Linked DNA regions of Drosophila melanogaster. The protein of the gene in region 3 interacts with the protein of the main gene of each other region in a pairwise test. Each region holds a gene or a part of one and is shown on either strand. Other genes may lie near its edges.

Region 1 (9,265 bases), on a different chromosome or scaffold from region 3:
AGGATGCATTAAAAGTCAAACGATTTCGGGCGTGTTTGTTTCATCACTTTCGTGTGTTTTTCAATGTGGGGGGTCCATGGGGGATTCAATATATGGCAAGGGGATCGAGAGGGTCGAAGGGCCTCCCCCCTTGATTTATGTTTGTAGCTCATTTATATTGAAATTTGATATATACGAGCGCACGCTGTTCATTTTGCAAAAGCCGCCGTCTCCACTTCGTATTTTATATTCGAATTAATTGAAATGATTGTGATCTACAACATTGCCGAGCCATACGCCTCGTTTATTCATATGCACAAACATACATACCTATATAGTTTAGCCACTTTGGATCCGTATATACATATGTACATACATATATGGACGTGCATATATAATTTACGAATATCGCTTTGTTCGCGCTCTACTCTCCTTTGTCTCTGTCTCGTTTTCAGCGAACTTTTATTCCATCCATATAAATTATATCGCGGCTAGACAATAGTATAACACCTCCTAAATGCTGTTGTTAGAGCCCTGTTTTAGTTTTATTGCCAAGGCCTGACAAATACATAAGTTTGGGAATTGGGAGGTGGGCGTTTCTGTAGAATTTGCATGCAAATTTTGAACCATTTCTAAGCACTTTCAAGTTTTCCGATTAGTTTTGAAAGTAAAGCGAATAAAACTATTTTGTCATCATTATTTTAAACATTTTTTCTTTATGTTATACATAGCTCTAAATAATTTAAAATGATCATTTTTGTAATTACTGTATTCAATTTAACTCAAATACATTTCATGGCCAAAACGTGTTACCTGGAAATTCAGAACTTTATATTTTTGTTGCTTTTAGTTCGCCTTGAAAGATCAGAAAGTCCAAAAAGGTCGTTCAATCTTATTGCCAAAATGTTGGACCCACCATCGCTGGAAATAAACTTGGCAAATCAACACATTTGTCAAGCTACACATAACAAGGCGCAGACGAGAAGGTCCAAACAATCCAACGATCCAAAGCCCCATCAGCGAATAAAACCAAAGGTCCACGCAACTAAGGAAATTAAACGGAATCCGTAAGGAGGACAAACCCGAACCGGCGGTGAAGATCGGAGTTCGGTGGGGAAATCCCAGGCAAAGTTGATCACCCGCTGACAGAAAATCACTTGGCAACGCGGCTGATCATTAACCGATAACACATGACATTAAAGAGTTTCACAAAGAAGTTTTAAACGCACACAAAATAAGATAAATGCCGACCACCCCAATGAGGGGGAACCAGTCGACTGAACCACAACGCACAATCCCGACAATAACGAGCGGAAAATTAATAGTGTGAACAAAGAAGAAGAACCATGGGGAAGATCGAGGAGATGGAGATGGAGATGGGGATCTGGGCATCTGAGATAGGTATCAGCTTACATTGGAGACGGCCCCAAAACGACGACGGTAGTAAGGAGTTGGAAATTTGTCAAAATGTCAACGGGTGAAACAGTTTTGGAGCGTTCATGCGAGTCACCTGGATGCGTTGCGATGGGATGCTACGGATGGAGATGGAGCTGGCAATGGAGGGACTTCGCATGGGGCAGCCACGTAGCTTTTGTAAAACAAACCATTAGCAGCTAATAAACATTAGTCATGCGACAAAACAAAGTCTCCTGGAGTCTGCTGCAGAGGCCCGATGATTTAGTGAGTGTAATTAAAACTTAAGTTTCCTTCGCTTCGCATATGTAAATTATCTGGCGGAATTCCACGAAATGCCAACCGAACTGAAAAAAAAAAACGAAATACGAAAAAGAGTTTTTCAACTAAGGTTGAACAAGTTTTGTGGTGTTCGCCCGGTCCTCATATGTATAATTATAATGAATAGCCTGTTTAATCAAAATTTATGCAGATCGTGGTCAACCAAAGCGAGCAGCGCGTGTTGACAGTCAAACCATTATTAATCACTGGCAAGAGGATCGGTAGTTGGCTAGCGCGGAGGATTTGAAGGGGCTTCTCCGCCAGGTAATCCTGATAAGATCGTTTTGTAAGTGATCGTGGACAAATCGTGTGCAAGATTGTGCCTTGCGCATTAGAGTCTCTCTATGCGGCAATTGGCAATTAGAAAACAGAGACTTTCAATCCTCCAATCCTTGTGAGTCAGAATATCAACTCCATTTCACCGGATCTCATTCCATGTAGCTGTAAATGTATACCACTTCATTTGTATCTGCAGCTTCCTTGAATTCGCGTGGTGTGTCACCATTTTACTTCACCTGTGTATGGATCCTCCGAATCCTCGGCCTGGATACCATGTTATTTATGCGCGTTTCATCCAATCACAAATCACTTGAGGAGCATTTTGTTTTGCACATTTTTATGGCCGCTACTGATGCTATGCAAGTCGAGGAAGTGGTCACAGTCCCTCTTGGATGGCAACTAAATGTAGTGGATCAAGCTTAAATGCTTCAGAAAGAGGTATTTGTAGGGCACCCTTAATTGGCATAGGCTATTTTTTAATAAATTTATGGAAAAATATTTGGGTTCAAATTGTTGTTTCTTAAAAATTCTTTACTTTACTTTAATGGCACAGCACGTCCTTAATTACTAAAATATTTCAAGAGGGTGTCATAATCATCCATATATGATTATTTAGACCTTTTGGGCTTACGTTAAGTTTTTTGGCCAGTGTGGTCAATCATGAACCGTTAACAACCCTTTTTAAATTCGCAAGAAAAATACCTGATTTCCTATACACCATTTTGACGATCGTTTGACGGTTATGTCATCTAGTCCCTAGCTTCAATTCCTTCCCACACTCACACATGGCTAAGACTGCAGAGCCGTGACGAACCAAGTCACCTCAAGAGATGATCGCTGCGCATGCGCATAACCGTAAGATTCACACATGCCTGGGAATCGGATTCGGAATCAGCGAGGATGTGAATGTGGACGGGGATGAGAATGTGTGTGTGTGGATGAGGAACAAGAGAAATACATTTTGAAAATTTAACGATGCGCACATTTTATTACCGCAATTAATTACAAAAACAACGCGGCCAAAACGAAATCTTAGTCACTTTATCAGAGAGGTCCAGTGGATAAAAAAAATGAAAGAGAGTAGTGCACGGAGAGCGATCTGAAAGGAGCGATAAGGTTTATGATAGATGTGACTAGTAGAACGCTACTAGCAAATGGTTCTGGGTCTGCAGATTGCAGCTCCTCTCGTAATTGGAGGCGCGACAGTTTGTCTCCAGCAGTCAAACCTGGTTAATTGGAGAAGAGACTCCCGGTCTATGAGAGAGAGAGATACGGAGCGAGACCGACCTGTACGGTCAAACCTGTTTCTCGACCAATTAAATTCGAGAGCGGGAGCGTAAGCCAGGCTTTAGGCCCGGCCAAAAGACGATGACGGCTGCTGTGGGCTGTGAGGCCAAGACATTTCGTGTTTCGACGCGTAACGCGACAGTTCCCCGGGCTAAAAAGCGCCTACGCCTCAGAAAATAGTCATCCGAAACGGTAACGCCTGCGGTCTATGAGTGATTCTTCGGTGTGGAGAAGAATGGGTTTCAAGCACGCCATGCTGCAGCGCAGTTACGACCTTTCGCCCTCGCCGGCGCGTACTTCACCCACCAATGGAGTCCAGAACTTGGGAGCTGGGGCACAGTTGCCACCGGCTCAAGTCACTGACTTTAGCATCAGTAAGATTCTGGGCAAGGAGCGTAAATCCGCTCAGGATACGAGCACGAATATCCTGGATCTATCCAAGAGCAGTAGCAACAGTATTAGGAGCCCACAGGCTCTTGGAGGGCTGGCAATACCATCAACTCCTTATGCCTCCGGTGCCTACTCCATGTTGCCGCCAGATTTGGTGGCCATGGCCAATGCCACCAAGTTCTATGCCCAATTCTTCCCGCACTTACTGCCCGCCTATGCGGCTGCTGCAGCGGCTGCCGGCTTGAGTACTCCTCCTACGTCGCCCTATCAAACACATCAGCATCAGCAGCATTTGCCAAATCAGCAGAAACGCTTCTTTGCTCCCTATGTGATCAATGGATCGGTTCCCCCACCACCACCACTGCAGCAGCAACAGCAACCTCTCATACGCACCAAAAGCACCGCATGCACTCGTCCGGATTGCCCGGAGTGCCTGGATTATTACCAAAGATTGCAGACTGGTGGCTATAAGCAGACCGCACCTCTCATCTCACCCGCCGCCTCCTCGGTGAGCAGTTCCACCGGATCAATACGTCCTGTGAGGGATCTGATTATGAGTGCCACTGGAGGAGCCGCCAGCACTAACATCTCACTGACCACCGTGACCAATCTGAGTCTGAACTCGGTCCAGGCAACGGCCGTCGGAATGATGCCCAAGATGACCGGTGGACTGATCACCACAGCCGTCGGCAGCAACAGTGGAGCAATCGGTGGTATCGGTGGATACAATGCCACATCCGCCGAGGAGATCAGCTACAAGTGCCGGATTTGCGAGAAGGTATTCGGATGCTCTGAAACTCTGCAGGTGAGATTTTATTATTGTTATTAAATTATTATTACGATGGTGTTCTGTTTACAAGTATATATCATTTATGACAACCAAAGCGTTTAGTTATCAGTTATTAGCTTTAGAAAAGATAATTCATCCTAAATATATTCCAAACTCTAACCCAAGGATTCAATTTATTCTTAAAATCCCTCAAAAACGAGTAAACACAAAACACCCACGAAACAAATTTTTATATTTATAGTGTAGACAGAATTTTAATTTTTTTTATTTCATTAGACCTTCAACTTTTAAAAAATGAAATACAAATATTCAAAAAATATATGCAATTCCCAATTAGAATTTAAGAATGAAATGATTTAGATTTGCCAGATTATATTTTATTTCAGTTTGCTGCTGTTTAGTTATAAAAAAAGCGAAACGAAATGAACGATTGTATGAAATTTTCTTATAAATTAAATAGCACAATCAAACTTATACGTAAAGTCACTTAAAGAGTTTGTACTTACACACAAGCATTTGGCAAATGCACGCGTATTTTTTTTTTTAATTATAAGTAACAAAAAAATTAATGATTTAGATCTCATCAACGGTTACGTATACATTTATCACAAAGAAATATGTGTTTATGCGGAGTACTAAATGATTGAGAATTATTATTGCAAAGCCATTAAATAACTTTAGGAATTTAACTCCTTTCAAAACATCTAAGCCAAGAACAGCATTAACCTTTCACATGGCCATACATCACATAAGATATCGTTTGGCCGGTCCTCAAAGTCCACATCCACACGAGATCCTCCCAAAACGGGTTTCTTCACCAACAGAGATACCATATGGATTTGGGCGGGGCCTAAAAAACAGAGAAACAGTAGTCTAATTGGAAGGCGGAGCTCCGAAGAAAAGAGTGGAGATTCAAGTGGAGTGGGGAAGAGAGAGGCAGCGAAGAATTGAGTGCCTTATGCAAATCTCGCAAGCAATCCGAGTTCAAAATGGAGTCGGCCGAAAACAGAAACAGAAGCGGGCAAAAAAGAGAGAACTGGTTTTACGCATGGGTGCAGCTACAAGATACGTTAGAAAGGGCCAGACGCCGAGCGAGAGGTAATCACAAAATGGCCACTTTGGGAAAGAACACCAATTTCAGTAGCTAACTGAAGCAAGCCACATTTGAAGTTGCAACAAAATTATTACAAACAATGGGGAACATTCGAATGTGTAACCATGGTATTTTTTGCATTTCTGGCTTATTTTGTATAAGTATAAATGTGTCCAAAGCTCAGTTTTCAGTAACTTTATATTCGAAATCTTCCAATCCTCACTAGAACTTATAGAATAAGGTATTAATATTAGGACCTAATTAAAATGTTGCTAAACATACTCATCTTGAAAGCCTCCCTTCCAAAAACTAACTAACTAACGAACAGTTTGTAGAAAATCGCTGTTTTATGAATTTCACAACAGATTTTCACTACCTCAGGTTTTTTATTAAAATTTTAAATCTCTTACTATTGCTACAATATTACTATTGCTAAGCTAATGTATCTTATTTATTTATCTTATTTGTCTATTATGTTCTTATTTCAGGCTCATGAAAAGACGCACAAATCGCCGCGTTACGAGTGTGCGGATTGTGGAAAGGGTTTCTCCCAGCTGCGAAATTACAAATATCACCTGTCCGTTCACCGAGGAACCAAGGAGTTTGCCGCCGAGTGTCCCGAATGTGGCAAGACATTCAACGATAAGGGATATTTGAGCAGTCACCTAAAGATTCACCGGAACCGGAAGGAGTACGAGTGTCCTTACTGTCCCAAATCGTTCAATCAGCGTGTGGCCTTCAATATGCATGTCCGGATTCATACCGGCGTGAAACCCCACAAATGCAACGAGTGCGGAAAGAGATTTTCGCGTAAAATGCTGCTCAAACAGCACATGAGGACGCACAGTGGTGAGAAACCGTATCAGTGCTCCGTGTGCGGCAAGTCCTTTGCCGATCGCAGCAACATGACCCTGCACCATCGCCTCCACTCGGGAATCAAGCCCTTCAGCTGCCCCCTGTGCCCCAAAGCCTTCACCAAAAAGCATCACCTAAAGACGCATCTGAATTACCATACAGGCTGCAAGCCGTATGTCTGCCCACATCCCAACTGCAATCAGGCATTCACCCAGTCGAGCAATATGCGAACCCACGCTAAGAAGTGTCAGTACCGTCCGTTGGATGGACTCACGGTCACATCATCCGCACTTCCAGTACCGGGAAAACAACAAACAGGTCCACCGCCCACTTTGGCCATGGCCATGGCTCAAACATTTCAAATGCCGCCACCTCCTGGAGTTCTAACACCTGGATCTGGTCCATCCCAACCGCCGAGTCAGCAAACCCTTCTCAGCAATCTCAGGACATTCTAAATGGGTGGAATCGTTGTGCCCGGCCAGTTTCAACCAAATTTGTGGCAATTACAAAGTGCAGTACTTCCACTGTTGTTATTCAATTTACATTTATTTTCAAGCAATAATTTTGCTAGAAATTAAATTAGGAATAGACATTAATTATTATTAAAATAGGCATATATATTGGCCAGTCAATAAAGTATAATATCAAATACAAAAGGATTCCAGGATTCTAGAAATAATATTTTGGATTGGAGATATGATTGGGAGTCCAACTAGGTAATTTCGCTTATAATCAGATAACGCAGCCTTATTTAATTCAAATCTTCTAGTGACAAAAATTAAAAGATGTATGTTTTTTTAGTAAACAAATGAACGAACCGTTGCAGTACATTTAACATATTTAAAAGTGCGCTCTCACTCAGCCAGATGGCGCCACCTGATAGTTTATTACCACTGTAGGTGTGTTGAGTAACTAAACGAAATCTTGCTGTTAAATTGTATTCACAGCTGTCCTAAAACCGAGTTGGCAGCCCTTTTCCCCTCAAAAATCGAAAGTCTGTTAATATATCGATAAGTCAAGGCAATTGTCAGTGGTACCGTTTCGTCTGGTATGACCGTGTTGTGAAATTTTGTTAGAAATTTACAATATAAGCGAGCATAAAAAACGCAGGAAAAGCGCAAAAAAATCAGTAAAACGTGCCTGCGGACCCAGGCTGCGGTGCGTCCAGTTGGCCGTAGAAAGCCTTTACCAAATTCGATCGAACTGAGAATTCGATTCGGTTAACTTCTGCATTGGGCTCAATTTCACCATTGCACACGTGTCTGGAGCTTTTCCTGGGTTCGGTCACCTCCTCCTCGGATTGCGGACGATCCCGTGGTAGCGCTGGGAAATGCCCAGCAGAGGACGGCGGGCAGTTCGAGATTGTTCCGGCAAAGAAGCAGGCGCAACTGCAACAGACGCTGGTCACCAACGACAGCACCGGACTCTCAATGGCTGAGTACTGGCAGCAGTTGACCAACGGCGCCGGAGAAGCGGGACCCGGCAATGAGTCATCCGCCATGGCAGACTGCAACGGAGGTCACGAATCGGCGGCAGTGGGTGGTTCCTGCAACAGGCACAGCAACAACAATTACGTGAACTTCAATCAGTTCATTATGCAGCACAATCTGGGTGGAGGAGCGCCCTCGAATGCCACCAGCACTATGCAACATCCGGTGGGCAGCAGCTACACTAACTTCTCCCTGGGCGGCGGTGGAGGAGCCTTTGGACTGAACCCACCAGTGGCATCCGCGAGTACCAGCCACTTTGCAAATGTGAGTCATCAATCTCCGAATGTATGTTTCGATATATTAGAACTTAGGTTTAGTCCTAATGAATCAACTAATAAATCACAAAACAGTTTTACTCGCAGGCCATGATCCCAACCTATCAAAATGGCGATGGCATCGCTAGAGTCACCGTCACCAGCAGCTATGGGTCGGTCAATCCGAGCAACAGCAATTTTTCGAGTTTTTACACACCTTTTGGCAATAATCCGTTTGACTTCAGCGCTTCCAAGCTGCAGGCCTCGGCTCCGGAATTCGTGCCCAATTTCGCCAAGCTGAGTCTAGAAGAGACACCGGCAGCCGCCACTACGAACGGAAACAGCACTGCCAGCCTAGAGACTGCCATAAATGAGACGAGACCTAGGACTCTGCGAGCCCAAGAACCAGCTGAACGAGGAGCTAACAACCAATGCTCGAACCATAATTACGAACGGGAGCGTGAGCGGGAACGTGACCGGGACCGGGACAGGGAAAGAGACCGGGACAGAGACAGGGACAGAGACCGGGACAGAGACCGGGACAGGGACAGGGACTCTAGACCCGGAAATACGCGACAACAACGCCGCTCCGACTATCGGGACGATCGGGAGGACCGGTACGAAAGAAGCGATCGTAGGAGGCCGCAGAAGCAGCAACGCTACGACAATCATCGCAGCAACAAACGCAGGGATGACTGGAATCGCAACAGGGACCGCATCAACGGCTTTCCCAGGGCCGTTGACGATTTGGACACGAGCAATGAGAGCGCACACCCATCGCCCGAAAAGCAGTCGCAACTGCAGCAAATCTCCCCAAGGCGAGGTCCACCGCTACCACCGGCGGATAACGAAAAACTATCGCAGCGAGAGAAACTGGTTCGCGACATCGAACAGCGCCGATTGGAGTGCCTTGTATGCGTGGAGGCGATCAAGTCGCACCAGCCAACCTGGTCGTGCAGGAACTGCTATCACATGCTGCACCTTAAGTGCACCATCACCTGGGCGAGTAGCTCCAAGTCCGAGGTGGGCTGGCGTTGTCCAGCTTGCCAGAATGTGCTGCAGGATTTGCCACGCGACTATCTCTGCTTTTGCGGCAAACTGAAAAACCCGCCGG
Region 2 (7,853 bases), about 20 Mb from region 3:
CATGGTTTAATTTTTTTTTTTGTCAGTATTAATTAATTAATTTATTAAGGCATACGGGGAAATCTTGGAGCCCCTTTGTGTCCTTCTTTTCTATTAATTCTGCCCATTTGAGCGCGGCGGCTATCTATAGTTAGCTTTTTCTAGTTTACAATAATAATACAGTACATAACAAACACATATAACAAATAGGTTTTTTGATAAGCGTCAGCTTCTGCTGACCCTTGTCAAAGGAGATCGGGAAATGAGATCCCTTGGTTGCCTTCTATTGAGCCTCCTTGGTGGGCGAGATCTGTTAAGGGTGGTAGTGTGGTGCTTCGCACAAACCACTCGCAGCCGGTGATGAGTCTTGCTACCTTATTTTGAATAGCCTGGATCCTTTTTATTTGGCTGTCGCATGCCAAGCCCCAGATGTGGTACCCAGACTTCCAGAATCGTCAGCTTGTTGGATAGCGACAATTTACTGCGCGAACAAAGTAGCCAGTAGTGCTTCGCCAACTTAGCACGTAGGCGTGTTCTGATGTCAGTCACATGCTTGGGAAATGTGAGTCTGCGATCCAGAAGCACTCCAAGGTACTTTGCTGCGTTCGGCTGTGGTACGGGGGCTTCCAATAAAATCCTGTCTTTTAGTGGATTTGGCAAATAAAATTTTAAAAAGTTGGTTTTTGTACGTTGCCGAAGAAATTGGTTGGAAATGGAATCTGTTGAAGCATTTCATTAAAAATAGATTTTAGAAAAGATATAAACATAAAAAAACATAATTGTGTAAGGACATGTTTCTAATTCTATGCTTCAAGGATTCTGTTATTATTACTTAAAGAAAAAAAAAAGAGGACAAATGATTCATTATGGTACTTCCCACTTTGAATAAATATGCATTTCGTAGAACTCAGTTCAGGGGAATAGTTTCATTTCCCAAATGGTTTCTCACAAGGCGCCATGCACTTTCCCTTTTTCTGAGCAACAGCCCATTTGTGACACGATTGTGTTCGGGAATGACCGTGTTTTCAATGACTTGGGAGTGTCTGTTTTCACTGCCTCCACAATCACCGGGAATGACTTTGCGTGTTCCTACGAGTGCGTCTGGACAATAGCTATTGATTTAAAGCGTGACACCTTCAATGGAGAACTACTTAGGAATTTCACTTAGCAAAACAATTCAAAAAGAAGAGTGAGAAGAGTCCACGATTGGGCCCGAAATGAAGTTGTAAACTGCGGTAGAAGCAGAACCAAGCAGTTGTGTGCTGAGCAAGCAAATCAAACAACGAAACGCCAACCAACCGGCCCCAATGATCATAGAAAAGTGCTTTTAAGCCATTCGGCGACACATTAATTGCTGACGTATTTGTGCACGAAGAAAGCCAATAGGCAGTCAATGTGCACAGCATCCATGAGCCAGCCCCCAAAGTGGGTCATATTCATAAGTAAAGCACCTATCGGCCCATCAGCCATCAGCGGCTGTAAAGTGCCGTTCTGCCAACCGGCAACTGCAGTTCAGTTCAGTTCATTTCAGTTCAGTTACTTAGGCTCAATTGAGCCGGGCCCATTTCGACGGCGTTTACAACTTTCTTTGGGCCAAAAGGTGCTAAGCGTCGCCTAACAATGGGGCTCCGTCAGGTGGAGAAATATTAAAATACAATACGATGGTGCCCCGCCTTGAATGAACCGAAATGCGCGTAGCTAAATGTTTGTTTTATTTTTCAGCAAATTGCCTTTGTTCATATGTGCCTTTGTTCACAGTGAAAATGGAGTTTACCAGAAGCAGAAGAGTGGAAGTGAAATAAGTGGGTGAAATTTAGAAACCCCATAAAGAGTTCGATTTTTGGAGGCTGATAGCAGGAAGAATGAGGCGGGTAAAAGTGAAATGAAAGTTGCGCCATCCACGTGCAAATGCTTTGCTAGACAACGCGGCGTATGAGTGATGCTGTCGAGGGCTGTGATGGCGAGTTGCGTATGCAAACCGAAATGAAAATTGTGTGGTGATGAGAAAAGAGAGTCGTGTTGGTAAAGTATTTTTTATGTTTGAATTATTATTTGATTCTTTGATTTAGCAGCATTCGGTTGGTCTTTCCCGGGCGGTAAAGTGAGAAAGTCCAGATAGTCAGACAGATATGGATAGACAGATAGGTAGATAGATTAAGGTAGAGGTACAGATAGAGATAGTCGTAGAACAGAGATAGATGGAAACAGATGAGAGATAGATACAGTTAGATGGGCGAGGCGACTGGCTTTGACTGATGGATCGACTAGTCGCAAAGATTTGCAGTCCATTTATCAAAGGTGCAGCCATGAAATTGAGATACAGCGTGAAGAGTGAGGAGTGCGGAAAGTAGTAAAGATTCCTTTGTGGAGGTTATTGGCGGTTCTGGATGAAAGGTGGTGTTTGGTGTTTGGGTGTGTCTTGTTATTAAGTGATTGTTTTTTTGTCTAATGGAAGGCACTTTGTTCGTCTCGTACTTCTCGTTCAAGTAATAAATTAAAATAAATAATTTATAAATAAATATAAATATAGGTCATCATTTTTAGCGATTGTTTCTCTCTCTCTCCTTGGCCTTCGTCCTTCGGTTAATTTGGCTCTTGACCAATTGTTTACCGGCGGGCCTGCTTGTATCCCTGGTAGGCGATGGTCTGGGCCACAGGCGAGCTGTAGGCACCATGGGTGTCCCAACCCGAGCTGCCGCCAGAGGACCATCCGGCGCTGGAGGCACCACCACCCGAGGACCATCCACCGGTGCTGGCAGCCGACGATCCACCGGCGTTCTTGCCGCCGAAGAGACCTCCCAGACCGCCGAGCAGACCGCCGCCGCCTCCGGATCCACCGATGCGTCCCAGTCCGCTGGAAGCACCAGCAGCCAGAGCCAGGAAGAAGGCGATAACAGACACAACCAGTGCCTTCTTGGCCAGGAACAGTAGTCCGAAGATGGAGCCGACTCCAAGGACGGCGATCTTAGCACCAACTCCCAGCAGGATGGGCAGGAACTTCTTCAGCAGCTTCTTCTTGCGGGTACGGGACTCAACAACCAGCTCGCGGAGATCAGCCTTGATGTCATCGGGAATGGCGCGGGCCACGCTGCGAGCGGCGTTAGCGAAGTTGAAGTTCAGGGAGCGTTCAGCGAAGAAGCTCTTGGCGTTGTCCATGAAGTAGTTGCCCATCTCGGCGGTGCGGGCCTCCACGGTGGGAGCGGCCTCAACAGCCAGGGAGTTGTCCAGGGACTTGCCCTGACGACCTTCATTGGACTTCACCAGAGAAACACCACCGAAAAGCTCGATCTGAGGGTTATCGAACACGGACTTGGCCTTGCGGAAGAGCTGTGGAGGAGGTAGTGGGGTTTCGAATTAGAGCGAACTGTAATAAACTGTGATCTAAAGTCTAAAATATTGGTCATTGAGGATATGTTTGATTGATTGTTATAATTATATGACTTCATGTGTATGTAAATAAGTGGCTAAGGAAGAATTTAGTTGTGAGTGAAATTTAAAATAATTTCTTAGTTTGCAAGTAAGGGAAAATTTGTTGTTATCAACTGTTTTTAGATTTTAGAATTTTAGAATAGAATTTCGATGATATATTTTTAGCTCGGAAATATAAAAGAGATGTGCTTAGAGCAGCTGGCAAGTCTAAAAAACACTTTTAAGTGGTAATGTTGTTTTCACATCTTCCTGTCAGGTGTCAATTGTGTTTGGCAAACTACACACTCTTTTCAAAATTGATTATTGCGAAATAGTTGCAGCTTGACAGGAAGCTGTAAAGAAACTGTTTTTCACTTTCACTTCAATAGTATCCTTTAGATCACATGGGACAACACGTAATCGGTGATCTATTGATTTTTTGGTTTCACTTTCACTGTTAAGCATCTTTGCAATTGTTCTCGATTGTGCTTTGATCTTTCGTTTTGTAATAGGGGTATATAATCCTTAGGGCCTAGATAATCCGTACCGTGAGCTGCAGGCACGAGATGGAGTCGGACTCGAGGCACTGGGCAAAGGCGCCGGGCTGCTCCTCAGCGGCCTTGACGGGATCGGCAGAGATACCTGCTGCCAGGAGCAGGATGCAGGCGGTGGCAACGAAGAACTTCATGCTGGTGGCTGGGTTGGTGGATTGGTGATTTCTGAGACTGAATTCCTTTGGCACCACCGAAATCACTGGTGTGTTCATTCGAATGGAACAAGCTGCGGTTTGATAACTTTTCGCCGCTGTCAGGCTGTTTTTAAAGAGTTTCCAACGTAGCGGTCGCCTCGGCAGCGGCATAACGTAAAATTATGTAAAAAGCGCCGGTGCCCACACATACAGCTAGGGTCTCCGTCGCCGAAGAGCCTGAGCCCTCTTCCACACGTGTCTGCGTGCTCTTTCTGGCATTTTGACTCTGCGAAGACGGCAGCTGCCCTCTCTTTCTGACCGCAGCGCTGCCTCTCTTTCTCAGCAGCCTCCGAGCTTAGAAGCCGCATTAGGCAAGCGCAGGCAGAGCTTTGTCTGCTTCCGCATTAAAGAAAGTCGCTGCGCATGAGCATGCGAAGACGAGTCTTCTTCGTCTTCGGTCGACGTCAGCGCAGGCAGCAGGGCTGTTGAATGTGAGAGCACGAGAAAGTTTCCATCGGAGAGCCAAAGCCAAGGTTGTTCGTCTTCTCTCCCCCACACACTCATACACATGCGCGCATCACACACACACACAGCGAAGAGACCCCTGAAGACGCATCTTCCCGCAGAGTCTTCTGCCCATCTCCTCGAACAAACGCACGCAGACAAAGAGGTGTAGTTTCTTCTGGAGCCTCACAGATTACAACACATGAAGTGATAAACAGGTGCTGCGCAGGTTAACCCTCCACACACCCCGACTCTTAACCCGTGGATGCCGGGCCAGCCCCCCCCCCCTCCGCCATAATATGTGTCATATATTCTTCTGGATTTTGTTAATTTTTTGAACGCTTTTGTTTTTTGGGCACTTTGCCGCAAGAAATGAAAGTTGTCTGTATAATATTTTCATACTACTGTTATTTCTGGCCCTTGGTCTGTATGTCATCTCCGTTTAATACCCCCCGTCGACCCGGTATCACCGAAAATAGTTATGTTTACCGCATGTGCGCGTCTTGAAATTACTTTTTATTTTCGTGACTTTATTGTGGTTCTGTTTTTATTGCGCAACATAAAGTGTGATATATAATGACAGTTATTTAACCAGGACAGGGTCTGGAAACAGGATATCTGGGAGCCGGGATCTAGGGCCAGATAGGCACGTCCTACTCGGGACTTTTCCTTCGGGCAGTTCGAGTACTCAGGTGAAAACACCTCTGCGGGCATAATCATAAGGAACGGCCTGACTCGGCAATTGTGACACATTAGTCAACAATTTGAGCTTAGCAAAAGTGCAAATAACAGCTCGCTTCAATTGCTCAAGTGAAATGAAAGAGAAATTACACGAAAAGCAAACAAAAACGGATGCGCACAAGACGCCAGATACCCACAGATGATGGACTACTGCACTTGGCGAAATCATCACATAGTTGCTGTATTTTAGCGAAATTTACTTGATTTGTTTTATCAAGCTGTCAAAAATAAGTAAATTGATGGAATTACAGTAAGTTCTGATAAGCTTTTAATAGCATATTAAATTGGCATTATACAGTAAAGATGACACAAACTTATTCTGCGTCCGCGACGCTAGAATCTGCAATCAATGATCCAATGATCCTTTACTATACATAATTAAAACTCAAATTCCATATAGAAATCGATTGAATTCGGCGAAATAAAATCATGACGATTTTCCTCAGTGTGCTTGGATGGATGGTAGCTTTCTTGGAAAGATCCGAGCTCCCGTTTCAAGGTGAATGTATGTGACTGACGACATCCGACACTATCATACGGATCTGGTGCGGTGCGACTTACGAAACCCCTGAATCATCCGCATAATGGACGCCAAATTGTCGATGGGCGATGGGGCGTATGTGTAATTTGCTACCACAATTAAATCGGCTTTCAGTTGGCCGTGTGACGTCAATCGAAATAAGCGTGCAGTGGTAAAAGTGTGAGGCATTTTGTAACGCAACATCAACGTCGAAATGGGTGCAGCCTCCCCAGAGGAGAAAATCAAAACAAGTGATGCGATCTTTAGGCTGGAATTCCGCTTTGCGTTTCCTTCGACCGCCATAAATCGGCACACATTCGGATGCAAATGGGTTCGGAGCTGCAAAGCCATGCAAATTCGAATGCCGTTGCACATCCGTCTTAACGGTCGAACTTATGTCGGTTCACGCGCCGAGCGTGAACGCCTCCATTTGTCTGGCGACTGGCATGTGCCAACTTCCAACTCCCAAACTACCATATACCAACTACCAAATGACCAACAGCCAATGGCCAAGAGCATGGCGAACAGGCTTGGCCATTCATGCGACAAGCAGCCGTCCAAGTGTCCAGTGTGTGAGCTTTTATGAATGAATTTCGCTCGTAGTTGGAACTGGCATGTTGTTGCTGCTGCTCGATATTGCTGTTGTGTTTGAGGTGTTGCTGTTATTGTTTATGACTGTCCCCGAGCTGGGTAAACAAATCGCAAGTGTCTTGAGCCGCTCTGAAAAAAAAAACAACGCACAACTTGTACATTATGTTACATCAGAAACTGACTGAAACAGTGGAGGTCAATATTTTGTCCATGAAAGAACCCAGCTTTCGATTTTTCGCCACTTTTTTTTTTTAAATTTCGGCTATCCGAATAGCAGGCAATTCATAAATCCTTCGTCCAAATCGCCGGGGTATTTACCTCCCTAAAGAGCACAAAGGGGTAATTTCTGTAAGTTATCTTCCGGTTGCTATATTTATGTTTATCTATGTAGTTGAACAAGACACAAAGGAAAGCTGCTTTTTGGCTTGATTAAAAAAACTTGAGCAACCTTTGGAGGAACTTCTTAAGAATCGAAGTACAAAATTCATAGCTCATTTAGATTAAATTTTAAAAAGGAACTTAAAATTGGATAATATTTATAACAACGTTTCTAACTAAGACCATCCATCTCTGGCCAATTCTGAACTTGCGTTTTCACTCGTTTAAATTATGCACTTGCCTACAAAAAGTTAATGTCTTAAGAAAGTTGGTCACAAGCCTCCGAAAAGATGGTCAAGTCAAACACCACCGCGAAGAAAATCTCAATAATTACACTACTTATTAGGCCAATGGCTGAGTGGGCTTCAATCAGCAGATCGAAGAGCGGAGCGTTCGTTCGAATCGGTGATTATTTTGGGCCCGCGGAGATATCATCGTATTCTCACTTTCATTTTGCTTGACATCAATTTGGGCCCAAGACTCATTAGTGGATCGGGCCAAGACGACGATGATGACCGTTGTGTCCCACACAGAGGCCATTTTACTGTATTATTTATCAGCGAAGGCCCTTTTTCTAGCCGTTCGAATTAAATTAAAGCCAAATGGCTTAGCCGTGAAAGTTTTTTTTTCTTTTATTGTATTTCTGGCCAATTAGCATAAGCGACGAAAGCGTCGAGGGCGTGCATTTCGGAATTCTGGTGGTTCTATATATCTTAACGATATCTTAACGGATCAGCTAATGGACCGTTCCGAATAGGTAGAAAACAGAAAGGTTTCGGCCAATTGGTAGCACAATTTCACATTGTGTGCTGAACATTTTTTTCGCCCGAATTGTATTTTGTCAATCAATTGCCACTTTGTGGGTGTGTTTGCTCTGGCGAGCTAAAACTGTTATTGACTTTAAATTTAATTTTGACTTTTTTCGTCTTTCAGCCGTGGTCATGCAAAAAGAATTTCGTGTGCGCCATGTATGTATGTGAGGTACAGGTTTTATTGGACAGCAACAGAAGCATCGCAGGGCAACATCAGGGGCAAAAATTTAAT
Region 3 (6,405 bases):
ATCCAGTGACTCGGAAGACTTTTACTTTCTATGATCTCTCCTTCGTTTTTTTTTTTTTCAGTTGTGGTGTGAAGTAATCCTATCTACCAGGGACGCCAGACGTTCTCCTCGTCCTCGCTGTCGTCCTCCATCTTGGTCACATCGATGGTGGTCAACAGGGAATGGCTGGTCGAACTGGTATTGGAGTTGGGACTGCCGGCGTAGCTGGAGATTGGCGAAATGGGCACGGAGTAGGCATCCCGATTGGCGATGTGCACGGAGAGTGGAGCGGTCACCGGCAAGACTTCCTTTTCTGCTGGCTGGATCTGATTGAGGCGCTGTCCCAGGTGGGTCATTAGCTGAGTGCCTAGGCTGACATTCATGCCGGGCAGCTGGGAGAGTGAACGGGAGACCTCATTGACGGCATGGATGTAGCCGGAACGGAAGCCCTCCGCCGGAGTCAAGCTCTCATCGCCGGAAGCCCGCTTGTGCTGACGCTGCTGCTTCATCTTTTGCAAATGGGTGACGGTAAGTTCCAGGATATCGGCTTTCTCCAAACGGGTGACGTGCTCGCCCTCGGACTCCAAGGTGGCAACCATAAGATCCTTTAGCTCGTCCAGGCACTTGTTGATTCTGGCACGACGCTTCCTCTCCAGCATGGGCTTCATCACCTTGCGGTACTGATAGGTCTTGGACATCTCGGACATTTGTAGCGACGACATTTTGTGTGTTTCTTATTGTTCTTTTTGTAGTTTCGATGTAAGCTGAGTTCTTTGAGCTCTTGCTGCTCCGACAGTCGAAGTCGTTGTGTGTTGCTAGACCTTCGGTGATCGGCCTTATATAGCTGGCCAGAAACAACCCCCAAAAAATGGGCCAAAGGGATCGTCGTCGTCGTCGTGTGTGCTGGCATTCGAGGAGCAAAAGGGACGGGGACACGCTTCGTGTGCTGGCATGAGGGTTGCTCGGTACCGACCCTTCCGCTTCTTGAGACCGCTCCTTATTGTTCGGGCGATTTCTTATTGTTGGCCCCGGCACCCTTATCAAACGGGCCAGGGAGCAGGATCGCTGCCAGGATCGTGGGAAACACTTTCCTACTCGGTTTCTCACATCGACTCGCTCACCTGCCCGCAAAAAGCAGCCGAGCATGGCCACGGCCATGGGCATGGGAATTTGCAGAGCGAACAGCTGCCGTTTCTAGATTTGTGTGTTATGATTTGACTATGGCATGGCAGGGTGAGGGGCATAAGGATAATGAACTGCTTGCATTATGCCATCTCATCGGGGTCCTCCGGGGTTCCCACGATAGCGGGGACCTCCGCCGGGGGATGGGGATAAGGATAAGGACGAGGCGTTGCGATTCCTCGACAACTTCCTGTTTACCGTTGGCATTCCAAATTGGATCGGGTTCGTGTTTGGTGGCAGAGGAAGGGACAAGGACAGAGGCATCCTGCACTTGTTGGTCGGCTGTTATGATCCTGTGGGAACATTGCTCGTGTGCGTCGAGTGCGCTTAATGCGTGTACGACTTCCCGATCCCCCCGACCCGGCAGGACCTCTGCCTCTCCCTCCATCCGCCATGTAAAAGGGGCCAGCGATGCTGATCCTGGAGCGCTGCTCGCGTGTGGCTCGCTGTGGACACACTTTCGGCTGTAAGTTGCTCGCGTTCCAGGACCTTTGTAATGGATGGATGGTTGGATGGGTGGTGCATTACAGGGATTTGTAAACGGAGTGGGGAGAGTTCAATTGACTTGAATTCAAGTGGACAGTATAACGGTATTTGGTATTTAGAATTATAAATTATTAAAATTCCAAGGAAAATATATATTTTCTATATATTTCAAATTAGATTTTAGAAATATATTTAAATATATCTGATATATCTTTTATATCGAAGAAAGCTAAATAAGAGCTTATAAATTATAATTATAATATAATAATTATATATATTATAACATTTTGTACCTATGTACCTATGGATTATAGCAACCTTGTTTATGTTCATATTCCAAATAATATAAAGCTTTTAAAATTTCAGTTTACGTTCATTTTATTATTCAAATGTTCATGGCTTATACTTAATGGTGTAAAGCGAAAAATATAATTTTAAAACATACACAAAAATTTGTTCTTAATGAGGCTAAGTGGAAGCTCGGTGGGGAAGCTCTTGCAAAGTTGATGAAATAAATTACAATGAATTAAATACATGAATCAGTAAGCCTATGGGAGATCAAATACAAAATACGAACTTAAGAACTATCACAGGAACATCACATCATATCAAATCAACTACCAACTAAATACGATTCTGAGGCAAATGTTTACACTAGACCTTGGAAAACTTGGATTGTTTCTTAATGAAACTGAGTAGTAAAGCTATCAATGTTAATTGGTTGCGTATATATGGAATGCCCTTCACCAGGGGCGCCAGACTTCTTCGCCATGATGAATATCCTCTTCTCGCGGAGACTTTGAACGTTTTTGGTCGGCTAGATTAACTGGTTCTTCGGCCATATCGATGATTTCTTCTTCCTGTTTCATGTCCTTGAGCTGGTGACCCAATTGCTTCATCAGGTGGGTGCCGAATTTGAGATCCAAGCCGGGAACCGTAGAGAATATGTGCGAGACCTCGTAGGCAGCCTGGGTGTATCCGGCCCGAAATTTGTCCAGGTTAACTTGGTCGGGTGGTGGGGATTGAGGATTGGCCACTCGCTGCTGCTGTTGCGCTTTCAGATAGTTGACGGTGAGCTCTAAGATGTCAGCTTTCTCCAGCTTGCTGACCTGTTCGCCCTGCGCATCCATGGTGTCCACGATGAGATCCTTGAGTTCGTCCAGATACAGGTTCATCCGGGCGCGTCTTTTGCGCTCCAGGAGGGGTTTGGTCACCTTGCGGTAATGCTGAGTCTTGGTCATAAATCTCTGACCCTGAACGGCCATTGTGTATAATGGGTTTTGATTTGGTGTGGTGATTGTTTGTAAATAAAGTTGCGATGTTGCGATGTCGCTGCTGCCGCTCCGCACTGCACGGTAGTCACTTGAGAAATGATCTTGCCGCAAGGTAAGCTGATCCTTTTTGTAGCTGCTGGTGCCGTACACTTGCGAAATCGAAATCCTCCCCTAACTGCCACCACGCACTGCGATCACAACGCTCCTACACGCCGACGATCACAACGAAGCATCAATCGGGTCACTCTCTGCTTGTGGCAAGATTCCCTCGGCGTTGCACGTGTGCAACATCAAAAAAATTGGATCGGGCGGAAGCCGCTGAGGCTCTCTTCTTGCACTGAAAACAATCCATATGTGGCAGAGAACAATTTTTAAAATCTATACTTTATATAAACTACTTTTAAAATATACAAGTTTCGAAGCATACTCTTTGGATGTCCATTCTGGAAACCAAAGTTTCTCATGCATCTAAAGTATCTTACAACGATAAGTATAAACAAAGAAAAAATAGTTTTATTGTACTTTAGAAACTTTTATATATTTAGAAATTAATTTATTTTTAATCAAAGCTTCTTTAACCTTGGTCATAATAGTAGAATGCCTTAAAGTTATTTTCAGTGTATTGACTAGGGTCCAATAACACGTTCTTCGGATCTTCGCCCGAGCTAGTAGCGCGCTCTCTTCGGGCGTCTCTCTTCCTCGTGCTGTTGCCGTGCGCCGGCGCAACAGTCTGAAGAAGGGTCTCCGAGGAAGAGCAGGAGGAAAGAGTCGGAGCAATCAACCACCACCACCAGCAGCGCACCACACGCACACACGACATCAGCAGCGACATGACCTCGACCTGCCTGGCAGCCATCCGTGCTCCCTGGTTCCCACTTCCCTCGAGAAAAGAGAGCCGAGCCCCATGCGTGCCGTCCTCACTTAAGCCAAAGAGCCAATCTTGTCGAGGCAATGCCATTGTTGCATATGGGTGTGGGTTTCTGCTTGTATGCGTGCAGGTGCACTGGAAAAAATGTTGTTTTGTAAACTGAAATATAATATTCAGAAATATGCAAAATGTGCATAAATAATATATTAAATTCTGTAACTAAACTATAATTTGCATTACTTTGCTTTAAAAGCAATGCAATCCCGAAGTCTTTATAAGCCATCTTTATAAGTTGCTAGTTTAGAGTTCGAATTTTCTTGCAGTGTGGCCTCTTCCCTTTTGGCGCACAGTCACACAGACCTCATTTCCTCTTTGGCGCGACATTGCGTTACACTTACGGGCACGGAGCACCATCATCAGCAGCAGAAGCAGCAGCAGCAACCACCGCAACAACCACCACCACCAACGGGACGGCAGCATAGCACCACCCAGGCAAGCGGCAAACAGCCGGTGCTGCGATGGGTCGGTCGGTGCATGTGCATCGTGAGAAAGTGTACTGGAGACATTCCCACAAGTATTGGGATTGTGCCGCACTTCTGCTGCCGGTTGCCCGGTTCCTCGGCCTCGGTCAGCTGTGACACTTGTTTGGCGCATTTTGCGAGATTGGGTATTCGGGGATAGGGCCATTGACGAAATCCACCTGCCCGAGGGTGAGTTCCAGTTCAAATCCAAGACCAGGGGTCGCTGCAATCGCAGCCATGAAATCGAGAAGTTAACAAACAGTGCAGCAAGGCACCGGCGACATTTGCTGACATCTGATGGCACTGATTTCGTACATTTCGTTTCCAGTTTTCTTCGTGGGGGAGGTTTCTGAGATCATCAGAGTGGCAATGTTTTGATATGGGTATTGGGACGACTTAAGGAAGACAGCCATATGCAAAAACAGGGATTTCAATTGCGCCAATTTCCATGAGGGAAAGATTTTAAGAGAGAGATTTCAATCTGTTGACAATGATGAATCATCCTACTTTTGAAAGTAGAAGAGGAGGATCAAGGATCATAAAACAAAAATTAAGAATCGTTCCGAATTTTAATCTTTCCCAATAAAAGAATCGTTCCGATACTCAATAAACATTTTAATTGAAAGTATATTCATTTGTTCGATATTGTTGTACATTGATAAATTTGGGACATTAACATTTCATAAATATCTTCAAGTGGCTGTAATTTACAAAGATACATATTCGTTTAATACACATATAGCAACACACACATATACATTTAGATTAATAATAATGTATAGAATCCAGTTCCATTTTTGCGCATCTAGTTTAAAAAAATGTTCTTGTTTAATGCGGATAACGCCAAATACAGTTTAAAATCCATGTGCTAGAAAGTAAGTGTAACGGACTAATTTGCTTCGTTTATTGTTTAATAAGAGGTACAAATGTGTAACGTTCGTAAGTTTTTATTTTGGTTCGATTCATTTCGCTTATCATTTCTATTTCGATTAAAATCTTTGTTGTGCTTAAAACTAAATTATATTTAAAGCGGACTGGGTCGTTTTAAGCTTATTATCGATTAGTTTTTGGTGTTTCGGAAATTTCTTGGAAAATGTGCTGATGAAATAAATTAGTAAGGACTAATGAGAGAGGTGAACTTGGTTTAAAAGTAAAATTATATAGAATAAAAAAAAAAAATAAATGCCATCAGATACATTTGCTGCGGGGAGATTCATCTATAATACAAAGTAATGCAAACGACATGTGCAACATGCCGTCTTCTTAAAGCTTTAAGTTATTCTTGTTCTTGTATTCGTTTCGTTTGATTTTGCCTTTAATCGCTTTCATGGTTAACTCCGTTTCGCCTGGTCGCGGTCATCCTTTGAGGAACTGGTGGACTTGGTGTGCCTAGTTGCAGTTGTGGGTTGCAAGCATTAAAATGTACAATCGGTAATCGTTTAAAAATATTTCCATTCGATATCTTCTTCTACGGTGCTTATAGTATCCTCGATCCACTCCCTTCTACACATACAAATATATACATTCTGTTTACATACATCAATACACGCGTTCATTTCCTTCTTTCGCATTCAGTGGTCATCGCTTCTGGACATTCTATACATACATACATACATATATATATAAATATTCTATGATTTTGTACGACATTCTGTGGGGGTTTTCACGTTCTCTAAAAGCACTTTTTAAGCAGATTTAGGAAACGCATTACTTTTGCGATAAGTGTGGTACGTCTAGTGCGCGGGTTTGTAGTTGTTATTCATGCAGCTGAAAGTAAGACAAAACTTGCATAAACATATCGAGGGAAGAACAAATTGGGGCGAAAGGATATTTGGGGCAAAGAAGCAGTGAAGATTATTCAATTTACTTAGACTTACTTCAATTATCTATTGGCTCGTATAAAATATAGTTGTCAATGAAAATATATAAAATCTTGATGTATTTTCTGTGCCTAGTAATTGTTTTTAGCTAAATTAGCAGCTACCGATAACTAAAGGTTCTCAGCTATTTTAACTTGCATTAGTTTTATATACTCTTGGCATGCATTTATCAGAAATATATTTTGGGTCTTTGTTTTAATTTAGCTATCGTGAAT
Region 4 (7,587 bases), on a different chromosome or scaffold from region 3:
CAGGCTGCTCCAAGCCGGGGTCAAGCAGCTCCAAGGCAGATGCCTCCTCGCAGTCAAGTTTTGAGGAGCTGGGCGCCATTGGTGGCATCTCAGACGAGAGCAAGGCCAACACGGACACCAACAGCAGTCACCTGGATCAGTGGCAGGTGCTGGAGGTAAACCGGATCGAAGCTGTAGAAGAGACGCCGACCACGAGTGCCGCCGATGAGATATTAGAGGTGACATTGCGCAGCAGGCCGGCGGTCGAGGGTGATGATAGTGAGATGGGCGAAAGTACTCAGGCACTTAACGTAAATCAGCGCCCGGCCAACCCAAGTCCGGCGTTCTATCCCGCCGTACCGCAGCGCACAAAGAAAGTGACTCGAAGACGATCCGATGGTTACTTGAATCGCCGCTACCATTCCAGCGATGACGAGTCGCCTGTGGCGCCAGGTGGACCTGGCCTAAGCCTGGGACTTTCCACGCTGAGTGAACACCCAGAGCACGGCTTGCATCCGCACTCCCATCGCCAGAGCTGCCAGCGCTGCGGTAAGAATAAGACAAACATTCGTCGACATGTTGAGAAAATGCGACGCCATCTGGAGAACTCGCAAATGTCCGAGGAGGACATCAAACGGGAGCTCCAGGAGTTTCTCACGTACCTGGAGCAGCGAACCAAGTCGGTGGATGCCTCCGATGCGGACAGCCACGCGGTGTCGCCACTCAGCGTGGATGCTATCAGTGTGGCTGCTGGTGGAAGATCACCGGACATGCCCATCACGCCAACAATTGAGTTCTCGCCAACGCAGGACGAAGATATCCGCTGGGACGATGACGAGGGCATCCATGTATACGCCGCTCCATCGGACTTCGAACCGACAGCCGGCATTGACTCACGATTTGTCAATTTGGAAGACTTTGAGGATTTGTAAATGCTCTATTCTCTAGAATGTTCATGATCGATTAATGCCTCTCTATTGATTTATAGAAAAGACTTGGAGGGTTTGACAGTGAAGCAGTTGAAGGAGGTGCTGATGCTGCACCGCGTCGACTACAAAGGATGTTGCGAGAAGCAGGAGCTTCTCGACCGCGTCAGCAGACTGTGGAAAACCATGCGCGAGTGTCCAGGTGAGCTTTGGACTTTGCACTACAATTTCACCCTCATAACGATTCAACCATTTACGCAGCTGTTGAAAAACTCGCCACTGATGAGCTGTGCAAGATCTGCATGGATGCGCCGATTGAGTGCGTTTTTCTAGAGTGCGGACACATGGCCACCTGCACGAGCTGTGGAAAAGTGTTGAACGAGTGCCCAATTTGCCGACAATATATTGTACGAGTTGTAAGATTTTTTAGAGCGTAATGATACGGCTAATCTTACGGTAACTGGACATAGTGTAATGATGGAAGCCGATAGCCGCCACAAGCTACATACAGATACAGATCCAGCCCAGCTGTACAAGTTGTACAGCAGATCCTGATGATGCGACTACAACGTATATGTTTCCTTAAATGACGCGAGTGCAACAATAATATTAATTTGATTATTTGGTTCTTCTCTGTAGTATGTTGCCAGTATATATATATGCCTATATATAGTGTAAAACCTGATATCGCTTTTAAAGTGTATTCATCTATTTCAAATGTGAAATACTTTTGCTATTTATTTTGTTTGTTCTTGTTGTTTGTATAAAAACGAGAGGTTATCTAGATCAACTAACATTCCTATAAACCGCAAAAAAAAACATTAAATCTGTTATTAACAGTTGTGTGAAAAACTCGTCTAGATGCGCATTTAAACAATAAATATTTTCCAATATCTAGCGCTCTATTAGCCCAGCCATTCGAAATGGGGATTTTCCTCCAAACAAAGGTTGTCTGGATCATAAATTCTAATCGAAGTCGATTAAGATTGGTCACTAGTTTTGTGACGAATCGCCTGTAACTGGGGATTTTCCCATACCTTGAGCTTATGGTTTTTCGAAATCTTTGAAATACTCTTTTTGCCCAGAACCACTATGAAGGAACCTAGATCAGATCAATCCCGAAGATACTCCCATGCCACCATGCCAAACTAGAGCAGTTCAATTACAACAGTCTTTAATCACGTTAAATAGTAATCTAGGTGTGGTGACAAGAGCTGGGAAACAGCGCAATGACTAGAAGGGGAAGAGAGACGAGAGGCGAACCGATTGGCCAGTTCAGATTCGATGGATGCGCAGGTCGAGCGGTGACTCCACGTCCATCTTAACGAAGAAGTCCTCGCTGTGGAGATAGCTATGCTGTCTATCGCCTAGCCAATAGCTGGGCGAGAATTCCGCATCCTGTTTGGGTTTTAGCGAGTAATCGCTGGGCTCATTGTTGGAGTCATCGTAGTAGCGGGCGGATGAGGAGGAGCTGGTGGACTCCACACTGCTGGCAGCGGGAAGACACGTGAACGCTGATTCGCTGCTGGCCTCCAGGAGACAGGGTACGCTGGGCAGAGTGAGCGGCTGGCTGGCGATCAGGTGGATGCTGTGCTTGAAGGTCTTGACGTGCTTTCGCAGCGAGGACGGATCCGTGTAGCGCTTCTGGCAGCCGGCCACTTTGCACATGTACGGCTTCTCCATCGAATGGGTGCGCGTGTGCTTGAAACGATCCGAGGAGTTCGAGTACGCCTTCTGGCAGCCCTCGAAGCTGCACTTGTAGGGTTTCTCGCCCGAGTGTGACCTAATGTGGATCTTCAGGTTCTCCGCCCGCGAGAAGGACTTCTCGCACAGGTGACAGCGATGTGGCTTCTCCTTCGTGTGGGTGCGGGTATGGACAAGCATCTTGTAGCGGGCATTGAATCCTCGCTCGCTGCGCTGACATCCCCGCCAGCGGCAATAGTAGAGTCCGTCTGTCAGGCTGGCGATCGCATGTCGCTGGGTCACGTGCTGTGCCAGTGCATCCAAGGTGTCGAAAACTCTGCAAGGATCAAAGGGATATAAGTGGTTAGTACGAAAATAACATGTACTGGATTGATTTCTTATCCAATATTAATACACTTGCTGACCATAAACAATACACTGCATCTCTATCAATTTGACCCAAAATCACATTATTATCGCTATTGGAGGGTTTATCAAAAAGTCGAGTCCAACAGTTCAGCAAATGCCAGGCTGCCTCCGGGGTTTTTTTTTTATTTCTTTCGAATGCGTAATCAGTTTCAATGGTAAAACGCGGGGGAACTGTGTTTTATATTTTTCTAGAACTACTCAATGTCTTTCTCTGGCAACTCAAAATTCAAAAGAAAATATAATGCTGAGTTTTTTTTTCGTTTTTAAAAAACATTACGAAAGTGCTGAGACCCCTTTAGGAAATTTCTTTGAAATTTTCACAATAATTCTGTAATGCAGTTGACACTTACCTATCGCAATCTGTCCAGTTGCATACGAAATCGCTGGCGGTGCCGCACTCGCTGCTGCTGCTGCAGGACTTGCTGTCGTCGGGGAACTCCACTGGACTGCGGCAGAGCTCGTCCTGCTGGCCACGAGCCTTCATGATCACGGACTGGGTGCGCTGACGATATCCGTATCCGGCGATGGGACGCGGCGGTGTGATGGGCGGCGTGGGAAACCTGATGTGCTGCATCTGCTGCTGGTGCTGCTGGTGCTGCTGCTGGTGGTGTTGGTGGTGATCCGCCAACCAGCTGCCGGAATCCGAGTAGGCGGCTATGTACGGTGGTGTGTTATACGGCGTAAAGTAGCCGAGAGGCGGCTCGTAGATGCCTCTGCTGTGTGGGCCGCTGTTGAAGATTGACTTTTGTATTATATCCATGTTTGTTGTCTGTGGTGGGTGCTGATCGAGAAAATTTGTTGCTTTCGCTAAAGCGCCTGCCGATCGAATGAGCCGCTCGCCTGCAGAGGTTCGGGTAATATGCGAAACTTGGACGGCGATAAGGGGTCGCCCAGACGGACAGGGTATGCTTATCAGTTTCGAAGGCTGCAGACGGGTCCGGCGGGGGCGTGGCAGGGGCAGGGGGAGCAGACGGCGGCAGACGGAACCAAAACAGTGGAGCGCCGAGGAGCAGGTGCGTAGCGGTGGAGCGGTGGAAAAAAATCCGCTGGGGCAAATGGATCTGGGGCAAAAGCACACACTACGTGAGTGAAACTCTGTGCTGGATGGACTGCGACGCAGATGGGTGACTGGGGGGCGACCAGGGTACGGTCTGGGCCCGCTTATCAACGCACAAGTGGAGAGCCAGCTAGTCAGCCAGCCAGCCAGTCCACATATGTACACAGGCACATGTGTGTGCCCGATGATCGCTCTTTGGGGGGCAAGTCTTATCGCCCGGTGCCGTCTGCCTGCCTGCCTGCCTGACTTGCACTTCGTACCGCGTAGCGAATTCCCTGCCGCACCCCACCCTGCGTACCGATCCGAGTCCCACTCCCGATCCGAATCGCACCCCTTCATTGGAACAGGTACGTCAACTCTTGGAGCCGTACTAGTGCACTCAGAGAAAAGCGAATGGACTAATACGTCTGAAGACGCATCTAGATCTTTTGCCTGAGAATGGCTAGTTCTAGAATCTACAAAGAGGCCACTATAAGATCGCCTTGCATAATTTCCATAAATAGATTTATTAATAAAACAATTAATTGTTTTCCTGACCTAACTATATATTCGAGCTTGTGACTAAAAAGTAAATAGTTATAGTTTTGAGACAAAGAATCAAAAGTTTAAGCAGACAATTTGAATCGTTATGTGATTCCTATACTCTGAAGGGAAATGGATAAAAACTTTCGTGGAAGCCACTTAATTTCAATTCTGTAATATATTTCTCAATTTCTCAATATGTTTTATTATTACAAAGTTAAAATTAGACTTTAAGCTTAATAGCTGTTTATAAAGTTAAAGCTTAGAAGCTTCCTTGAATTCCGAACTTTATAATGGATATAAAACCCCAACTGATGTGTTGCATAAGGAAATCACGCTAATTTTATTAAATTTGATTTGAGTACACTGAAAACAAAAGTGATATTTTCTAGCTTGAGCTTTGTGAAACCCCACACACATTCTCATTTATAATTTTATCACTTTATCAGAAATACTAAACTTCCCCCACATGTGTTTGATATGCAAGCGTACGATCCCAAAACCCAGAAATTCATTCTTGGGTTCGCCCGCCGGTTTCACCTCAGTGTGTGGGCGCTGCGTCTGGGACGGCGATAAGGTGGTGGTGGTTGGTTATCTCACGCCAAGTCAACAAACGCCGCCACATGCCGCCATGGTACCATATCTTTTGGCCCGAAAACTTGGTGCGCCATGACGCGAATGGTTCGGCGGGACGCGGAGTTGCGCTCTGCTGGGTGGTGGCTATGGCAATCAGCTATCAGCCAGCCATAAAGCTATCGTCGTTATCAGCGCGGCGGAGGCGCTGTCTGGTCCCGTGAATCACTGGGGGAGCAACCTTCGCTCTACCCCGGCGCTGCAGAGCACCAGCGCCAATCGACCAATCCCCACAACGTAATCCGTCCCTGTGCACGGGCCAACGAGTGGGGTCCCTGGCTTACGTAAAGAGACAACCTGACATCAGGGACTTTGATAAGCCCTTGCCCTCTATCAGCAGTGCGACAGGTGGAGGCGAACGTGGTTGTGGTCGTGGAAGCGGACTCATTGCCAATTGCACATCGCAGTACCCATTCCCATTCCCATTCCCATCCCCGTACCCGTACCCATTCCACTCCAGTCCAGTTCCCCCACCAGATGGCGAATCATGATTTATAAATAGATAGGGGGCATAATCGGACCACAACTGCTCCGCCGGACAATCGAGCCGAGGTACAGTCGCGCATGGCGAGGTCAGTTCAGCGGAATCTTCCAAAAGCACGGCCTTGGGTCCGTATCGCCTCCCCAAATCGAAGACAGGCGATGAAGGACCCCAGGCGCAACCTAATTTTTATGTTTTTTGCCGCTTGCCGGCAATTAAAGCCGCGCAGAAAATGAGTAAAAAAAATCCGGATTTTCTGACTGGCTGTGTGAACTTTGTATGGCGCGAGCTCCCGTTGGGGAGCTGAGCGTGTGCGCTTATTAATTTTCCGTGGTCCGAATCTCGGCGTAAATAATAACAAATCGGCACCAAACTAGGCGTATAGACACTCGGCGGCGATCCGGATCGAACCGGAATGGCAGGGTGCAGTCCGTCGGGCGCAATGATGTTCAATATTTCTATCAAATTAACAACACTCGACCGATAACCGGAGGGGTCTGGATGGCTGGCAAAGGTGGTCTGGTGGTCCGATAAGCCCTCGCAGCAGATTCGGATTGGGATCTCCGATTCGATTCTATTCGATCCGAACCGTTTCGTTCCGTTCCGCGCTCCAGCTTGACCGGTGGGCGTGCGCCTGAACCTAGGGGTTTATCAGCCAAGATGCACATTTGCAGCAGCAGCAGCAGCAGCAGAAATAGCAGCAGCAGCCGCCGCGGAGAAGGTTCCACGCGTAGTCCAGCCGGCTTATCGCTGCAGTGGGAACCCACTGGGGGCGCTGATATGACTATGGTAGTCCCGCAGAAGGCTAATTACTTTGTTGCCGCCAACGATAGACTTCCAAAGTCCATGTACCGCCAGCCGGGCCAGCCAGTCATCCAAGCCAGGGACATGCAACCGAGGCATGGAAGCCACAACTACTCGCACTCACATTCCGACCCGATAATTACAGATGGCTGCTCGAATTCGGCCGACTCGGATCTATTATTTATAGGGCGCTTATCGCCAGACAGCTTTTGATATGGCCAAAAAGGAAAAGTTATTAGGCAACTGGGGAAACCAAAAGCAGAAAAAAAAAAACGGGGGAAAAAAACATTCCAGACATTCGTGGGAGCCCACAGACCCCGGAGCGCAGACCTTCCGGCTGAAGCTCTATTTTTATACCCGTTCAATGGGTGCTGCTATTTTTTTTTTGGAGCGATATGCTCTTGTCGCTGTTACCACCACTGATACGCCTGACAATATCTCGTCTAGACTGGGCATTATTATGAGAGGCGAAATTTGTTTTTTTCGTACATTAGTGTTTTTCATTTTGTTGCTGCTCCCTCCCTCCCATTGGGTTGTTTAGCGGAAAAGTTTCAATGGCACCTCCAGGCGGTGTGATCCAACACAACCATAGCACAACGCTGCTGGGGGCTGTTCCATTAAAAATATGACTGGCATTCTTGGCGGGGGTAATTCAGACGTCTTATCAACCGATTTATATTTACGATTGGCGGGCAGGAAGTATAGCCAACTTTCAGTCTGAGAATGCCGATAGATAAAGGGCATTATGAAGGTGTCGCGTTGGTCCTTCAACTATCTATACCTGAGTATCAAACTGTTCAAGTTGCAGACTTTCTGTGACATAGAACCATTCTGAAATAGTGAATAGTGACTTGGATATTTTGGATATCGCAATCATTATAATTGGGAACTCATGCAGGAAGTGACATCAACTTTTTGCTCGTGGGTAATTAGTAAAGTTGAGAGTTCCTATAGTCAGTCATCACCAATATCATTTTTTCAAAAGCTAAACGAACTGTAACAAGAGATATAATATTTTCAACCAGTATTATTCACACAAATTTAGAAGCTTGTTAATCACATTGTGAATTGTA

What was found.
Region 1: the proteins of E(spl)mdelta-HLH (region 3) and CG15269 interact in a two-hybrid assay, tested with the Drosophila melanogaster proteins (one large-scale study listed by BioGRID).
Region 2: the proteins of E(spl)mdelta-HLH (region 3) and Osi6 interact in a two-hybrid assay, tested with the Drosophila melanogaster proteins (one large-scale study listed by BioGRID).
Region 4: the proteins of E(spl)mdelta-HLH (region 3) and sug interact in a two-hybrid assay, tested with the Drosophila melanogaster proteins (one large-scale study listed by BioGRID).

Annotation. Positions count from the first base shown.
Region 1 is NT_033779.5:15,106,053-15,115,317, forward strand, and holds CG15269 (uncharacterized protein), read left to right. Parts: upstream 1-3,352; 5' UTR 3,353-3,532; coding exon 3,533-4,474; intron 4,475-6,040; coding exon 6,041-6,862; 3' UTR 6,863-7,040; downstream 7,041-9,265. Other genes in the region: stc (shuttle craft), read left to right, coding at 7,838-8,182, 8,248-9,265.
Region 2 is NT_033777.3:6,231,036-6,238,888, reverse strand, and holds Osi6 (osiris 6), read right to left. Parts: upstream 4,182-7,853; 5' UTR 4,154-4,181; coding exon 3,935-4,153; intron 3,307-3,934; coding exon 2,587-3,306; 3' UTR 1,708-2,586; downstream 1-1,707.
Region 3 is NT_033777.3:25,994,239-26,000,643, reverse strand, and holds E(spl)mdelta-HLH (enhancer of split mdelta, helix-loop-helix), read right to left. Parts: upstream 3,024-6,405; 5' UTR 2,913-3,023; coding exon 2,391-2,912; 3' UTR 2,011-2,390; downstream 1-2,010. Other genes in the region: E(spl)mgamma-HLH (enhancer of split mgamma, helix-loop-helix), read right to left, coding at 84-701; CG43116 (uncharacterized protein), read left to right, coding at 3,752-3,891, 4,113-4,470. UniProt on the Drosophila melanogaster protein: Transcriptional repressor of genes that require a bHLH protein for their transcription. May serve as a transcriptional regulator of the Achaete-scute complex (AS-C) genes. Contributes to the neural-epidermal lineage decision during early neurogenesis.
Region 4 is NT_033778.4:12,925,122-12,932,708, reverse strand, and holds sug (sugarbabe), read right to left. Parts: upstream 3,850-7,587; 5' UTR 3,778-3,849; coding exon 3,368-3,777; intron 2,926-3,367; coding exon 2,181-2,925; 3' UTR 2,065-2,180; downstream 1-2,064. Other genes in the region: CG17019 (uncharacterized protein), read left to right, coding at 1-907, 968-1,107, 1,167-1,342. UniProt on the Drosophila melanogaster protein: Transcription factor which represses a set of lipase genes involved in fat catabolism.